Linked DNA regions of Yarrowia lipolytica. The protein of the gene in region 1 interacts with the protein of each later gene in a pairwise test. Links are inferred from orthologs where the notes say so. Each region holds a gene or a part of one and is shown in the gene's direction. Other genes may lie near its edges.

Region 1 (3,986 bases):
GACTAAACTAAACAGATAACATAACGGTACAGTATATAAACAAGCATCGAGTGCATTACAGAACGAGTAGTACGAGTATGAGGACTGTATATAGGACTGTACGGCACGGTACACGCACGAGAGCTATTGATTCAAGTGAGGTGGACAAACTTTCAAGCTATACGACTAATACGACTATCTCCGCAATCTCCGAAATACCGTTGTTGCGGTGGCATTGGAATGTAAACGTTGCAGGAAGTGCATGAGCAATCTACATTGTAGAGTGCGGGTTTTTGAGGTTAGTCAAATATTGGGGTAATAAGGGGCTGAAAAGGCGCTTAGAAAAGCGGTCGAAACACGTTTTTGGAGCGAAATCCCAGCTTTTTGCTCGCAGGACCAAAAGGGAAAGTTCAGCAGCCAAACAGTAATCACTCAAAGTTGTTTTCAGTCAAGGTTGATTTTCAGGGAGCAAGTTACAAGCTGGTCTTGTGACCTGAGGGGCTGTGTCGAGAATGCGAAGTGATACGCATACAGTAGAGAAGGTGTTGATGATGACAACGTTCAGATCGGGCAACGGGGCTCGGAATCGTGGAGGAGAGGACATATGATATTGATGCAGCATGTGTTGATGTGGTTTATAAACAGTTGGAGCTGATAGTGTGGGTACAATAGGAAGTACTTTCATCTCGGCATTCTACTGGACAACCTCAACCAGTTGGTTAAAAGTTCTGTACTGTTAACTGCTAGACAAGGCTAATAAAATATTAAAATATAAAATATAGAATATAGATATAGAGTTATAGGGTGTAGAAATATAAAATCAAAATATTAAAATACAAAATATATATATAAAATTTAAAAAAGTTTAAAAAATAGGAATACAGTATAGACCACCAACAATAGCTCCAAGACACGGAAATATAGACATAGACATGGCCTGCTTAATGCCGGCTCGGTGCATCCACACTGCCGTCGAGCAATTAATATCCGGCCATCATCCCGAAATCCGTCCTGTTTTCTCTCCTCTCAGACATGTCCATTGTCTTGCTGTCATCCAATGGGGTTTGGGGTAATGGGTGAGGTACAAGTAGTTGGAAGAGACACAACGGAGATAGGCATGAGCGAGTACGATACACCGGAATGCTCGTAGTGTACCGTGCAAATAACCCAACACCTCCAACAAATCACATGTTATGCCATCACTCCTCCTTACAATGCTCACATGACGTTGAGGTCGTACATTTGATAACACTGTTGGGTTGGAACCTAATCAGTTTGCTGCCCTGAACGGTTGTCGAAGGTGCGCATACGATAGTGCCATTGGTGACTGGGGATCGGGCGACGTGGTGATGGAGCTTTTGTAGGGTAAGTGGTAACTTGGCAAGTTCTTGGAACCGCTAGGGACTGTCGGGATCTTAAGTATCCGTCTTTTTTTAGCAGAAGGTGTCCGGTTTTTGTTCACTTTTCCACCCGCTCTCTTGGCATGGCGCCATTTTTCAACTGTAGATTTCACCTGAGGTAGGGCTCGGTGCTGCACGGGGAAAAAAAAGCAAGGGTGGCGATTGAGCTGAAGCGGTCCTGTAGTCGGTTAGATTCGCAGTTGGGGAGGTGCCCAGGGCCTCAATTGGACACAAATAGGCGACGCTGGCCGCCAGCAATAGTCAGCAATCTCTTGTCTCCTTGTTAGGGGACCCGCTTTGGAAGTCCCAACTATCGTATATAGTGCTCTTGAACATCCGCTTTTCCGCACTCACTCACTCACATCCTGTACATCGGCACATTGCACCACATACACTTCTTACAGTAACGCAACTGCAACACGGTGCAACAAGTGCAACAACAGAGAGTCTCGGACACACATTCTCAAGAGACTGCACCCAGACAAGCGAAAAAATGGACAAAGAAAACGCCTCAGTGGAAAAGGCCCCCACCACCCCGTCTTTGGCGGTCCCTGCTCCTTCCCAGGCTTCCCCCCAATCGCCCCAGGCAGCTCTATCGCCGTCCAACTCGTCCATTCAAGCCACCTTTGCCCGCGCACGAAAAGGCAGTCACGCTTCTCAGATGGAACGCCCCAACAACCGCGACTTTGCCATTCCAGCCTCCCCCACCGTGGGCGAGTCGTCCATTGCAGAGCTGGTGACGGCACCACCGGCAGTGACGCCCTCCCGGTCCCGATCGTCGTCGGCAGCCTCCAACAACCAGGCCGCCATGTCGCCTGTGTTCCCGGCTTACGACGACTCCAACGCAAAGCACTACCGCCGATGGGAAGACGACCGATTGGATCTCATGGTGCAGCCCGACAAGCTGGTGTTTGTGGAGGGAGATACGCCCGTGGAAAAGGCGTTCGATAAACTCGTCGAAAACCACTTCACCTCGTTGCCCGTGCGAACCGCCCCTGAACACAAGTCCGTCTCCCACTCTTTCGACTACGCAGACCTCAACGCCTACCTGCTGCTGGTCATGGGCTACGTGGACGCCGCAGACACCACTCCCGAGGCACTGGAAAACGTCAAGAAGGCGCGATCGGGCCAGCCCGTGCCGGTCAACTTTGTGGCTGGCCTGGGAGCCAAGGATCCCTTCATCTGTGTGCCTAGAGACTCCACTCTGGCCACTGCCGTAGAGATTCTCGGCTCTGGCGTCCACAGATTTGCCGTCACTGAGGGCCCCGCCTCCGACGCTGTCATTGGCATTCTGTCCCAGCGACGAACCGTGCGATACATCTGGGAGAACGGCCGGTTGTTCAAGACGCTGGAGCCCCTCTTCCAGACGCCCCTCACAGACCTGGGTCTTGCCCAGCCCAACCCCAATGTGCTCACCATTGGAGGCGATGAGTACGTTATTGCGGCGCTGCGAAAGATGAACGCCCAGAATGTGTCTTCTCTCGCCGTCGTCGACGCCTCCAACAACCTGTTGGGTAACATCAGTGTGGTGGACGTGCGGCTTGTGTCCAAGAGCTCGCAGTCACATCTGCTCAAAGCCACCTGCGCGCACTTCCTGTCAGTCATTCTCAATGCCCGGGGCCTGGAGGACGGCAAGGACTCCTTCCCCGTGTTCCACGTGACCCCGCAGACGTCATACGGCCGAACCATCGCCAAAATGGTCGCCACCAACGCCCACAGACTGTGGGTCGTGCAGCCCGATGTGCCCTCTCCACAGCCGTCGACCCCCTCTGGTCAGCCGGCCTCCAAGACCCACGGTCCCTCTCACCACGCTGCTCACAACGGTAAGCTGATTGGAGTGGTGTCGCTGACCGACATTCTCAATGTGCTGGGTCGACATGCTGGCAACTCGGACCTGGACCCCCATTTTGCCCGTCGAAACCGACGACGGTCTTCCTCCTCGTCCGTGCGATCGCGATCTTCCTACGAGCAGTTCCGACGGTCCATTTCCATTGATCGGGGTCAGAGATAGGCCACGGCGGAATCTGGAGTGATCACGTATATAGGTGGAGAAAAGGGGGGATGGTATAAGAAGGCTCCCTTCTCAAAGAAATCAAGCACTATTTATGCTAATAAAATTGAATTATATTTGCTGGAGTGCAAGTACAACCACTGGTACTTGTGCCGTACTTGTGCCGTACTTGTGCCGTACTTGTACATGTTAGTTGGATGTACCTGTATTATAGTATCGTGGTGCTAAAAGCAAGGCTGGTCAGCCGTGCATTAGATAGAGCAGGGTCCTACAGGGATGTCGAAGTGGGGGAAAAGTGGGAAAAAGTGGCGCTTCTGGCTTCTTCGAAGCTTGTATTGTGTTTGTTTGGGTCGGTCTGAGTCTGATTGAGCCCGTTCGAATATTTGGCCTGTCATTAATTGGGTAACGGCGGCGGTTCAGATCGTGAGGATTTTTTATTTTTTATATTTTTATTTTATATTTTATATTTTATATTTTTATATTTTATATTTTATATTTTTATTTTCATCCAAAATTTCAAGATAGTTTTATCTTTATGTTTTTTCGGTATCGCAAACTTTACGCTGTGTTAGCGTCAGTACCTGCCCTCGAGCAGT
Region 2 (5,660 bases), on another chromosome or scaffold:
CGGCGATGCGGTGAGTGAGCAGCCGGTTGAACGAGTTCATCGAGTCGAGGGTCAGGGACGGCGGCTTGTGTTGCTGTTGTTGGGCCACGGGCGCCGTGGGGGGCAGCAGCGAGGCATTTTTCTGTGCATCGAGGAATTGTTGCAGCTGCTTCTCGATTTTAAGTACCAACAGACGCGATTGCGGCGTGGCGAGAGCCCGTTTGAGCGCGTCGTCGAGGGGCATTTTTTGTTGGTGATGAAAGTGAAAATTAGAATTGGGTGTAGCTCAGGTATCCCCAAAGCTTATGTGTGGGGTGAGAGAAACAAACCGGGAACTGTAGGTGTCGTAGCCAAGTGCAAGTTCCACACGGCCATAGAGGAGTCGGGAGGCTGGATGGCTGGCGGGCGTGGTTTTTTAGTAGTGGATTCGTCCAAGATACAATTGACTGGTCGTTTGCGCTGGACTGGCCTGTCACGTGTCGGGGAAATCGGTATTTTTCAATGTTGTTTTCTGATGAGTAGTCAGTAAGAATGAGAGAGAAGACAGAGAATGGCGGCACAAATACGATAGAGAAAGAAGAGCTCAAAGGATACGGCACTGACCGGAAATGAAAAGCGAAAGAGTGGACCCACAAGTAGCCGATTACACAAGCAGATATCTGACTCCAATGAGCTCAATCTCACACGGTTTTTGGTCTGATTGACCAGTCGTAACCGTCAACGTTAAAGTTCATGCCACGACATGATGTTGAGTTTGCCATGTCTGACTCTGGAAGGGTGTCGGTCGTAGTGAGAAGGCAGTCAGAAAGCGAGGTTGCGAGGTTGTGAGGTTGGGCGCGGGCTGTCAAGACCACATATATAGAGAGAAGGATGGATTCAAAGTTACATGGACACTGTAGCATCGAACGCTCCTCAACACAAACGCATACTCTACATAACAGCAGGGGACGCGGACTAATAATTATGATCCGTGTATACGTCAGATACAGTACATACGAGGACAATCTATGTGGACGACAGACTATAAGTACAGTACATACTGTACATACTTGTATCAGTACAAGTCATTGGGAGAACAATATATACAGGATGATTCTATAAGAACTACATGTAGTGTTGCACCACAAGAGCGTAGAAGTTACGACATGTTGAAAAATGTTCCGGATCTAAAATCAATTATCGAGTCCCACACTCAGGGTATACGTTATAGATTGTTTTTTTGCAAAACTATTATATTCTCCAAGTACAGTATATACATTAGGGAGGCGGCCTGCTGCTGCTGTTCTTACCACTGAGTCCCTGTGCATAGAGTTAAGGTCCCGGATAAGCTGGTTTGGTGAAATATTGAGGACCCTTGCATTCATGTGCGAGAATCTATTGTATTATATTTATTGTATGTACTGTACAGCCGATACGAGTGGACCACGAGCTGGCTATTTTACTGTATGTGCATTCTGGGCACCCATAGCGTAGAGTACCGGTATTTCTTCAGCTCATAGCAAGGCTTTCCGCCAAGGGCTTTCTCAGTTCCATCAAGGTTGTAAATTAGTACAGAAAGTACTTGAGAAGTGCCAATAACTACTTAGTTCTTACAGTAGTAGTACACTCGTGGTACTTCGGCCTGATGAGAAGAAGCTCGTACGAAATCGGTAAACACGGTGGCAAAAAAACGACCGAAAAACATAGGTGCGTTCAATTGAAGGTGACACCAGTGTACTAAATCGCTCGAGTTAGGCCCCGTGGAGCTTCTATTCGCTGCTGTCTCTAACTCCACAGTATTCGTGCTTGGAGATTACCTAATATCGCACGCCAGACATGTCCCAACTGCACCCTACAGTACTAACTTTCAGATTGAGACAAGTGTGGCAATTCATCATCTGGATCAACACCATGTCATCAGCAGAAGAAGTGAGTGAAAAAGAAATGGAGAACGATGAACCGAAAGTACAGCCGTGCTAACACAGATTCGTCTCAAGCGTCTAGCTCGTCTAGGAGGAGGAGCTTCCAGTCCCTCTCCTGGTCCTTCCGAGTCCAGGAAGGCAGAGGGGACACCTAAGGAGGAGGTGAAGAAGGAGGTGAAGGAGGTGAAGGAAGTGAAGAAGGATGAGCCCAAAAGCACACCTGCGATCAAACCCAAGATCAAGATTGTGCCCAAGGCCGCTGCTTCTGCCGCCACAGGCACATCGACCCCAAAATCCGCTGCACCACGACCAGCTCCAGCTCCCTCGGCTTCGCTGACCGTGCCGTTCCAGCAGTACGAGCAGGACGCAATTGAAAGCATTCTGCGAATCACAGTGCGAGACAAGCAGCGATGCACGCAACTTGCATCGGTCAAGGAGGAACTGGAGTCGGAAAACAAGCCCGTGGCGCTCTCCAGAGACAATCTCGAAGATGCGCTCTTCAGCCACCTCACAGGATCCAAGGCAGTCTTCAACTATCTCATGGAGAGCTTTCTGCGGGCCAAGAAAGACTTGGCAGTGCTCAACAAGGCTGGCACGGACGCTGTCGATGTAGAGCCCAAGAAAGAGCTGGTCAGAAATATTATGGAAATGACCACCCGATATGGACTGCTGTTTGTGTCTGTTCCAGACATGTACGAGCAGGCCCAAGGCATTATGGAGGTGCTGAAACTGTCACAGAACGGCTCATTGTCGTGGGAGTTCGTGGACGAGATCTTCTCACGTGCCCAGACCGACGGAGACATGGGCTCTGTTGCGGGCAAGATTCTGCAGGACGTCAACGGGCTGATTCTCAGCGCCAATCAGGACGCCTCCCAGTCGGCCACCGCTGCTCTCTACTTTGTGTCGCACCTGTTCAGCAACAAGCTGTTTGCTTCTGCTGTGCCCGAAATTGAAGGCTTTGTCGAAAGTGGCACCAACGACGAAAAACCCGCAGACATTGAGAAGAACCCCCATGGTCTCGGCCCCGTTTTTGCCATTTCTCCTTTGCATGGTTCTACCGCTCTCACCTTCTTCCCCATCGGTACTCCTGAGCAAATGATGGATCCCCGTGGCAACGCCGCCAACGGAGTGCGAGCCGAGTCGCGAATCGTGCAGGACCAGCTGTTCCAGATTGTCGACAAGATTGTGCGGGCGTCTCCACAGGCACGAGACTGTATTCTGCAGTACTTTGGCCGCGTGCTCAAGTGCAACCACAGAAGACGAGCCACTCGACTGCAAGAAGGCACCACATCTTCTGACGGCTTTCTGCTCAACATATTTTTTGTGTTGCTCAAACTGGCAGACCCGTTTGTCGATAACGCCTGTTCCAAGATTGACAAGATTGACATTGACTACTACAGCCGAACCAAAAACGCGGTAATTGACATTTCCGAGGAGACCAAGATCCACGCCGACTCCACCGAGGCCGCAGAGTACTACGGAGACGAAAAGAATGCCGATAAGAAAGACCTGGCTCCTAACTTCATTTCCCATGTGTTTTTCCTCACCGCCGGATACCTATACTACGGTTTTGGAGGTGCCCAGCAGCAGGTGACACGTCTCAAGGAGCACCATGACCAGGTTAGAGACTACCTTGACAACTCGCGGATCCAGTATGCCAATGTTCCCGAGGCTCAACGGGGAGCAGTGAACATGCAGCTACAGAAGGTGGAGAAGATGGTGGGTTCTTTGGCGGCCCAGCGAGCAGCCATTCTGGCCGTCATCTCCGAGCAGGACGTGTGTGTCCAGGTGCTGCAGTTTGCTATTTTCCAAATGCATTATCTCATCCGAGTTCTGGACCCCTCTCACACTTATCCCCTGGGTGGCGAAGTTACTCTGCCCCTGTACACTGGAGAGAACACGGGACCTATTGCTTACCTCCCCGAGTACCTAATCGAGGGTCCTGTTGGCATTGTAAACGTCATGTGTCGTCACAACACCATTCTGGCCATGTTGTCTCCCTTGGTGGACGTTTCTGCTCTCGTCACCTTTGGAGTGGTCTTTCTGCGACACTCGGACGTGATCAAGAACCCACATCAGAAGAGCAAGATTGTAGAGATGTTGTTTTGCGGCACCCAGCCCATCTACAACCAGAATGATGGCTTCTTGGTGTCTACATTCAACTCGCAGAAACTGGCACTGGAGTCGCTTATGCATTCGCTCATGAACATCTATATCGAGTTTGAGCAGACTGGAGCACATACTCAGTTCTACGACAAGTTTAACATTCGGTACTATGTGTCGCAGATCATCGAGTCTATCTGGAACAATGTCAACTATCAGAAGCGGCTGGAAAAGGAATCCCATGACAACATTGACTTCTTTGTGCGGTTTGTGGCGCTGCTGCTCAACGATGTCACCTATCTCATGGATGAGTCGGTCAGCAGTCTCACGGAGATTCGGCAGATTGAGGCGGAACTGGCTGCCATGACCGAGGAAGAGAAGAACTCCACTCACGCCCAGGAGCTGCAGAAGAAGTTCAAGACAGCCGAGCGCAACATCAAGGGGTGGATGCCTCTCACCAACAAGAACATGAAGCTTCTTGATTTGTTCACCCAGGCTGTCCCCAAGTCGTTTGTATCGCCCGAAATCGTCGACCGACTAGCTGCCATGATGAACCACAACCTCAAGGCGCTGGTTGGCCCTCGATGTCGTGATCTCAAGGTCAAAAACATGCTAAAGTACGGCTTCGACCCCAAGGATCTGCTGGTCAAGCTTTCCAAGGCTTACTACAACCTGCACAAGCAGGACGCGTTTATCCAGGCTGTGGCTCGAGACGGCCGATCGTTTGACCCGGCAAACTTCACACGTGCTATTGAGCTCATCTCGCGTTTCAACCTTATGCCTAGAGAGTACCTGGATCAGATTGTGGCACTTCGAGACAAAGCCTCGGAGGTGGCTGCTCAGGACGAGGAGGACGAGCAGGACCTGGGAGATATCCCCGACGAGTACCTGGATCCTCTCATGTACACACTGATGACCAACCCTGTGATCCTGCCGTCGTCCAAGATCAATATTGACCTGGCTACCATCAAGTCGCATCTTCTGTCCGATCCCAAGGACCCCTTCAACCGAGCGCCTCTCAAGCTGGAGGACGTACTGCCCAACGACGAGCTGAAGTTGGAGATTGAAACCTGGGTCGAGGAGAAGCGAAGTGCAGCCAAGACCAAGGATGCCGATGGGGATGTTGATATGAGCTGAAGAGGTTGGCTCATGTAATGTGGAAGGGTGTTGGAGTAGATGTAACGACTTGGAAGTTTGTAGCTATGAGTAAGAACGTATAATAATCAAATGAACTGGTTGTGCGTAACCGAATGACGAAGTCGTATGTGCACAACAATTGCCAGCTGCGGATAAAATGTGCAGCAGCTAACGAAAGAACTGGTCTCGGTCAAAGCTGATGAATGGTCGTATGAGAGTCGACTGTGAATAGTGATCGGTCACAATCACCTGTATGTGTGGTAAACCTTTGAGCGGGAGAGTTACTTGAGGAACTCCCGCACCTTTTCGGCGGCTACCACCTAACAATACCATCGTCTAATTATCTATACCAGTATCTAACATGTCTATTTCTGCTCCCGCTTCTTGATCTCCTTGTCAATGTTGTAGACGACCTGTCGTCGGGCCCGTTTGAGTTCTGCCGCGAGATCAGGAAGCTGTACCGTCTCCACGATATGGTCAATGCTGGTGTTGTCCACGAGCAGAGAGTTCTCCACCGTCTCGTTGGAGGTCGGAGTGGCA
Region 3 (4,733 bases), on another chromosome or scaffold:
CCTTGTCTGCGGATTTGGCCATTGTTTTAAAGTGGCAATATGATGGTGCAGGAACGAGGTGCGTCGAGAAAAGTGGTGATGGAGGGGTGGTGCCAATTAGGTTGGAGCTAGATACCGAGGGGGAGACGAGGGAAATGTGACTGAAAGTGGGTCGTTAGAGATTGGAAAAGAATTGTGAAATGACAAGATTGATCGGAGGAATAAGGAGAATATATATAGGTTTTGAACGGCCCAAAAATCCCCACTTTGACACCATTTCCACTTTAACAGCAATACTAACCACCTTGCAATTTACCTAATAAATAAAATAATGATAAAATATCTGACATGTGACTGAACATTTAGATGTATCCAGACACATGGTGGAGGACGGAAAAAAAGACCACGGATCACGTGATACACGTAAACCCAGAGTGGCGTGCGGTTTTGGGCGAGTCACGTGACCGATAATCTCTTCCCCCCGCTACTTCCCCGCAGCTGCCCACTCTGGTGAGGTGAAGTGCTTGCACTCACTCATAAATGTAGCGAGTATTTCGGCGTCGTCGTCATGTGACCACGCACGTGATCTGGCATATATATGACGAGTCACGTGACATTGCACATTACGCCGTGCTCACCTCCTCCTCATCTTCTTTTGCTCATAACCTGACTCGTACTCACTCGATCCGGTATCTCATCACCTGCCTGCTTCTGACAATTTCCATCACCCTAACCCTGAACAAAAAAACCATTCGGGTGGTCACGGGACCAGCCGTGCTGAAAATACGTATACTTAGTAAGCAGATTTCATGGGCCTCATGGAGCGTTTTGGGGGAGGTTTATGGGGGTGTTTATGGCCGGTTAAAGACGGCTAAAGACGGCTTTTTTACGCCCAAAAAGGAAACTGTTGCCTCCTCTTTCTCCACTCGTGACCTCTGGACCCTCCACTCGGGCTGTATTTCGATTTGTCGTCTCACAATGGCCATTAGTCACAAGCTCTTTGGCTGAACTTTTACTGGTACAGTAAGCATGATGAGCAAGCAAGATGAAAAAAGGTGCAGCATTGAGGTGGGCGGGTCACGTGAGCTGGGAAAAAATGAGGGCGGCGAGAAGGGTAATTGTTGGGGACACAAAGTAATTGAGCTTACTAAGCGGTCCTCCGCCTGCAATGGGGTTATAGGTGTTCAGTTTTGTTTGTTGGTGGGAGCAAATGACCGTTTGATCAAAGCCAGTTGAGACTGTCGATTGGTTGAATCCAACGCAGCAGTGGGGAACAATTGAGAGTGGGAGCGGCGGGGGCACGAGAGGAGGAACACAGATGTTTATATAGATGGGTGGGAAGTGACACAGAGCGGTGGGGTCCGGAAAACCCGGCGCCAAAACCGGCAATGTCGCTCGTTTTTTTGTTGACCTGGACTCAACCATGCCTGTCAGTAAACACTCCTTGTATAGAGTACCTCGATATATGAGTGCGTGCCAAAATATACGCAGGGCAAATCAGGCAACCCTTTTTCCACACAACCTTAGTTTAGGCACAGTCACAAAGCTACGGTTCCAGGTACTTACTTGTTGTTGCACAAGAGAACCATCCGCCGTACCGCAAGACAAAGTACACACTCTACTCACACTCCATCCCCACAACCATGTCATTCTGGCGTATGGGATCCGGCTTTTCGTCGGTCAGTGTGATTGACAAGATTCTGGACAACCCAGACCACACGTTGCACGAGCTTCTGGAGGAGCCCGACCTGCTCCAGGAGGTGCTCAACTCCAACGCCAAGCTCACCGAGTATCTGCGACGAGACGATATTCTGGAGGAGCTGGTTCAGCTGGTCAAGGGGTCTCCGGAGAGCTCAAAAGAGGAGGGTCAGGGCGAAGGTGAGGGCGAGAACGAGGGCTTCGACGACAAGAAGCCCAATTCTGAGGAAGATAAGGACAAGAAGGACGACTGTGATAACGACAATGACGTGGAAATGGCAGATTCGGACGACAAGGAGCAACCTAAGGAGGAGGAGGAACCGAAGCAGGGAGAGCAAGCGACCGACGCAGCAGACCCCGACAAAGACGACGAGGACTCGGACACGTCGTTCGATTCCACATCGTCAGACCCCTCCAAGTACAAGCTCGAGGAGGAGGACCAGCAGCACTACGCGTCGGTGGCCTCTGAAATCCTGTCTGCCGAGGTCTGGTCACTGACAGAGGCGCTCATGGAGCGGGAGGAGCTGGTGCAGCAGATCTGGGAGATCCTGGACTACCCGGCCCCGCTGTCCATGAACCAGGCACAGTTCTTCACGAAAATCTCGGAGCATCTGCTGGACAAAAAAACAGACGATATGATTGCATTCATCAAGCGGCAGTCCAACTTTGTCGAGCGATTCATGCGCCACATTGACGACCCGCCACTCATGGACTTTCTGCTCAAGGTCATTTCCACCGACAAGGCCGACAACTCCACGGGCATCATCGACTTCCTGCAGAAACAGCGCCTGATCCCGTCGCTCATTGCCTTTCTAGGGCCCGACGTGCCGTCCTACATCCAGTCTGCCGCGGGCGACTTTGTCAAAGCGTTTGTAACCATGTCGGCCAACTCAAACTCGGACAACTCCACTATTGGCCCCAACGAGCTGTCTAGAGAGCTTGTTTCAGAGCCTGTCGTGCGCGAGTTTGTGCGACTCATGCTGTTTGGAGGCACCGGCCTTGCTACCGGCGTGGGCATCATCATTGAGATCATCCGAAAGAATAACTCCGATTATGACTACATGCCTGTGTTGTTCATTACCATGAAAACACACCCTCCGGGACCTCGAGACCCCATCTATCTCGGCACGCTGGTGCGCATCTTTTCGCAGCACATTCCCGAGTTCCAGGCCATGCTCACCCGTCCCAGCAATAAGACGCTCAAGACCCCCATTGGCGACATTGAGCCACTGGGCTTTGAGCGGTTTAAGATCTGCGAGCTGGTGGCAGAGTTGCTGCACTGTTCTAACATGACACTGCTCAATGATCCCAAGGGCGAGACCATTGTTGCCGAGCGAGATGCCGAGCGAGAGCGAGTCAAACAGGTCATCGCCAAGGCAAACGAGGACGGTGGCGACATTGACTTTGCCCGTCTTTCAGTGTCCAACGAGGACGAGGAGAACGAGGAGCAAAACGAGGAGGAAGAAGGCGAGGCTGCCAAGGCTGACGCCGAAGAGGCCAAGGCTGATTCAGCCGAAACCAAGGCCGAGTCCGAGGCAGTCGAAACCGAAGACAAGGACGACTCGCTGGAGGCAATCGAGGCAGCCCTGCGCAAGGACCCCGTGGTGGGCGATCTGCTGAAAATCTCACTGGTGGACAACGACGTCATTGTCACGATTCTCAACATGTTCATGAAGTTCCCTTGGAACAACTTTCTGCATAACGTGGTGTTTGACATTGTGCAGCAGATTCTCAACGGCCCCATGGGTGACGGCTTCAATCGGTTCCTGGCCATCAATCTGTTTGATAAGGGCCAGCTAACCCAGCTCATTGTGGACGGCCAGCAGCGGTGCGACGAGTACGAGACCGAGCACGGTACCCGAATCGGTTACATGGGCCACTTGACGCTCATTTCCGAGGAGGTGGTCAAGTTCACGGCGGTGTTTACCCCCGAGTCTATCTCTCCGGTGGTGGCTGCCGCCGTCACGGTCCCTGAGTGGATCATGTACGTGGCCCACACGCTGGTCAAGACCCGGGAACAACACAATGCTCTGCTTGGCGGAGCTCGGCCGGACCACAACTCTGTGGCGCACAATCCCGACGCCATTATTCTTGGCGACGGAGCTGGCAACGAGCTCGGTGAAGAGGAGGCAGAGGACGACGAGCGAGATGGCGGAGTGGTGGACGTCGACGAGGACGCCAAGGAGGACAACCCCGACCAGTTTTCGCGATACATGAGTCAGCAGATCACTGGCGACATGCCCGACCGGTTCGGCTCATCCGACGAGGACGATGAGGACGACGTCTGGGAGGAACGCAAGTTCTCCAACGATCTCAAACCGTTCCACACCTCGAACAAGAAGGAGTCTTCGGACGAGGACTCCGATGTGTCTGAGGGTGAACCAGAGGTTGAGATTGAGCAGGAGGTCGAGGTCGAGGGAGCTGACAAGGACGCAGCATTACGTTCGAGCAAGGAGGATAGCCAAAAGTCTGACGGAGACGCAAATGAGGAACCTGAGAAATCGGAGGATGCATAAATAATGATGTAATGAGATTGGAAGTTTTGACAGATCCGAGCTCAGGGAGGGTCTGTACATTGTAGAAGATCGATGACAGATCCGAGAACCGCGAGGGTCTGTACATTAGAAGACTGATGACGCAGCGATGGTCTGATATTAGAAGACCGAAGTATGCGTATGTACTATTGAATCAAGAGACGGAGAGAGATTCAAAACTCCGATCTCCCCAATCTCCTGCGCTGTTAGTCTAAAAACATTAATTATACACTACATGGGCCAAGCGACACGGTTCACTTACGTCGACGTCCTCCGACCTTGGTGGCGGCCTTGGGCTTGGGCCTTTCCCGCTCCTCCTTGGCCTCTTTTTCTTGCTGGATCTTGGCCTCCTCGGCCTTCTCGGCGGCAGACTTGGGCTTGACAAGATTGAAGAGAGCCACGGGCAGAGTGACCCACAGAGAGTCCTTGATGCCGGGCATCTCCACCCCCTGGGAAGAGATGGGGTGCTCAATGTTGTTGTCAGTGTCCACCAGATGGATCTCACCGGTGTTGTAGTAGCAG

The links. The genes of interacting proteins can lie anywhere in the genome.
Region 2: the proteins of YALI1_E20596g (region 1) and YALI1_D15523g interact in a two-hybrid assay, tested with the Schizosaccharomyces pombe proteins (2 studies listed by BioGRID). The link is inferred for Yarrowia lipolytica from reciprocal best matches to the Schizosaccharomyces pombe genes sds23 and ufd2.
Region 3: the proteins of YALI1_E20596g (region 1) and YALI1_F15708g interact in a two-hybrid assay, tested with the Schizosaccharomyces pombe proteins (2 studies listed by BioGRID, with this or other methods). The link is inferred for Yarrowia lipolytica from reciprocal best matches to the Schizosaccharomyces pombe genes sds23 and ekc1.

The regions. Positions count from the first base shown.
Region 1 is NC_090774.1:2,057,540-2,061,525, reverse strand, and holds YALI1_E20596g (uncharacterized protein), read left to right. Parts: upstream 1-1,872; coding exon 1,873-3,390; downstream 3,391-3,986. Other genes in the region: YALI1_E20604g (uncharacterized protein), read left to right, coding at 912-1,048, 1,095-1,266.
Region 2 is NC_090773.1:1,550,445-1,556,104, forward strand, and holds YALI1_D15523g (uncharacterized protein), read left to right. Parts: upstream 1-1,869; coding exon 1,870-1,887; intron 1,888-1,943; coding exon 1,944-5,120; downstream 5,121-5,660. Other genes in the region: YALI1_D15506g (uncharacterized protein), read right to left, coding at 1-223; YALI1_D15557g (uncharacterized protein), read right to left, coding at 5,207-5,300, 5,344-5,453; YALI1_D15568g (uncharacterized protein), read right to left, coding at 5,486-5,660. UniProt on the Schizosaccharomyces pombe protein: E4 ubiquitin chain-elongation enzyme specifically involved in polyubiquitin chain assembly.
Region 3 is NC_090775.1:1,569,250-1,573,982, forward strand, and holds YALI1_F15708g (uncharacterized protein), read left to right. Parts: upstream 1-1,622; coding exon 1,623-4,193; downstream 4,194-4,733. Other genes in the region: YALI1_F15692g (uncharacterized protein), read right to left, coding at 1-22; YALI1_F15695g (uncharacterized protein), read left to right, coding at 346-439, 530-987; YALI1_F15745g (uncharacterized protein), read right to left, coding at 4,466-4,733. UniProt on the Schizosaccharomyces pombe protein: Has a role in chromosome segregation. May provide a dynamic connection between kinetochore microtubules and kinetochore chromatin.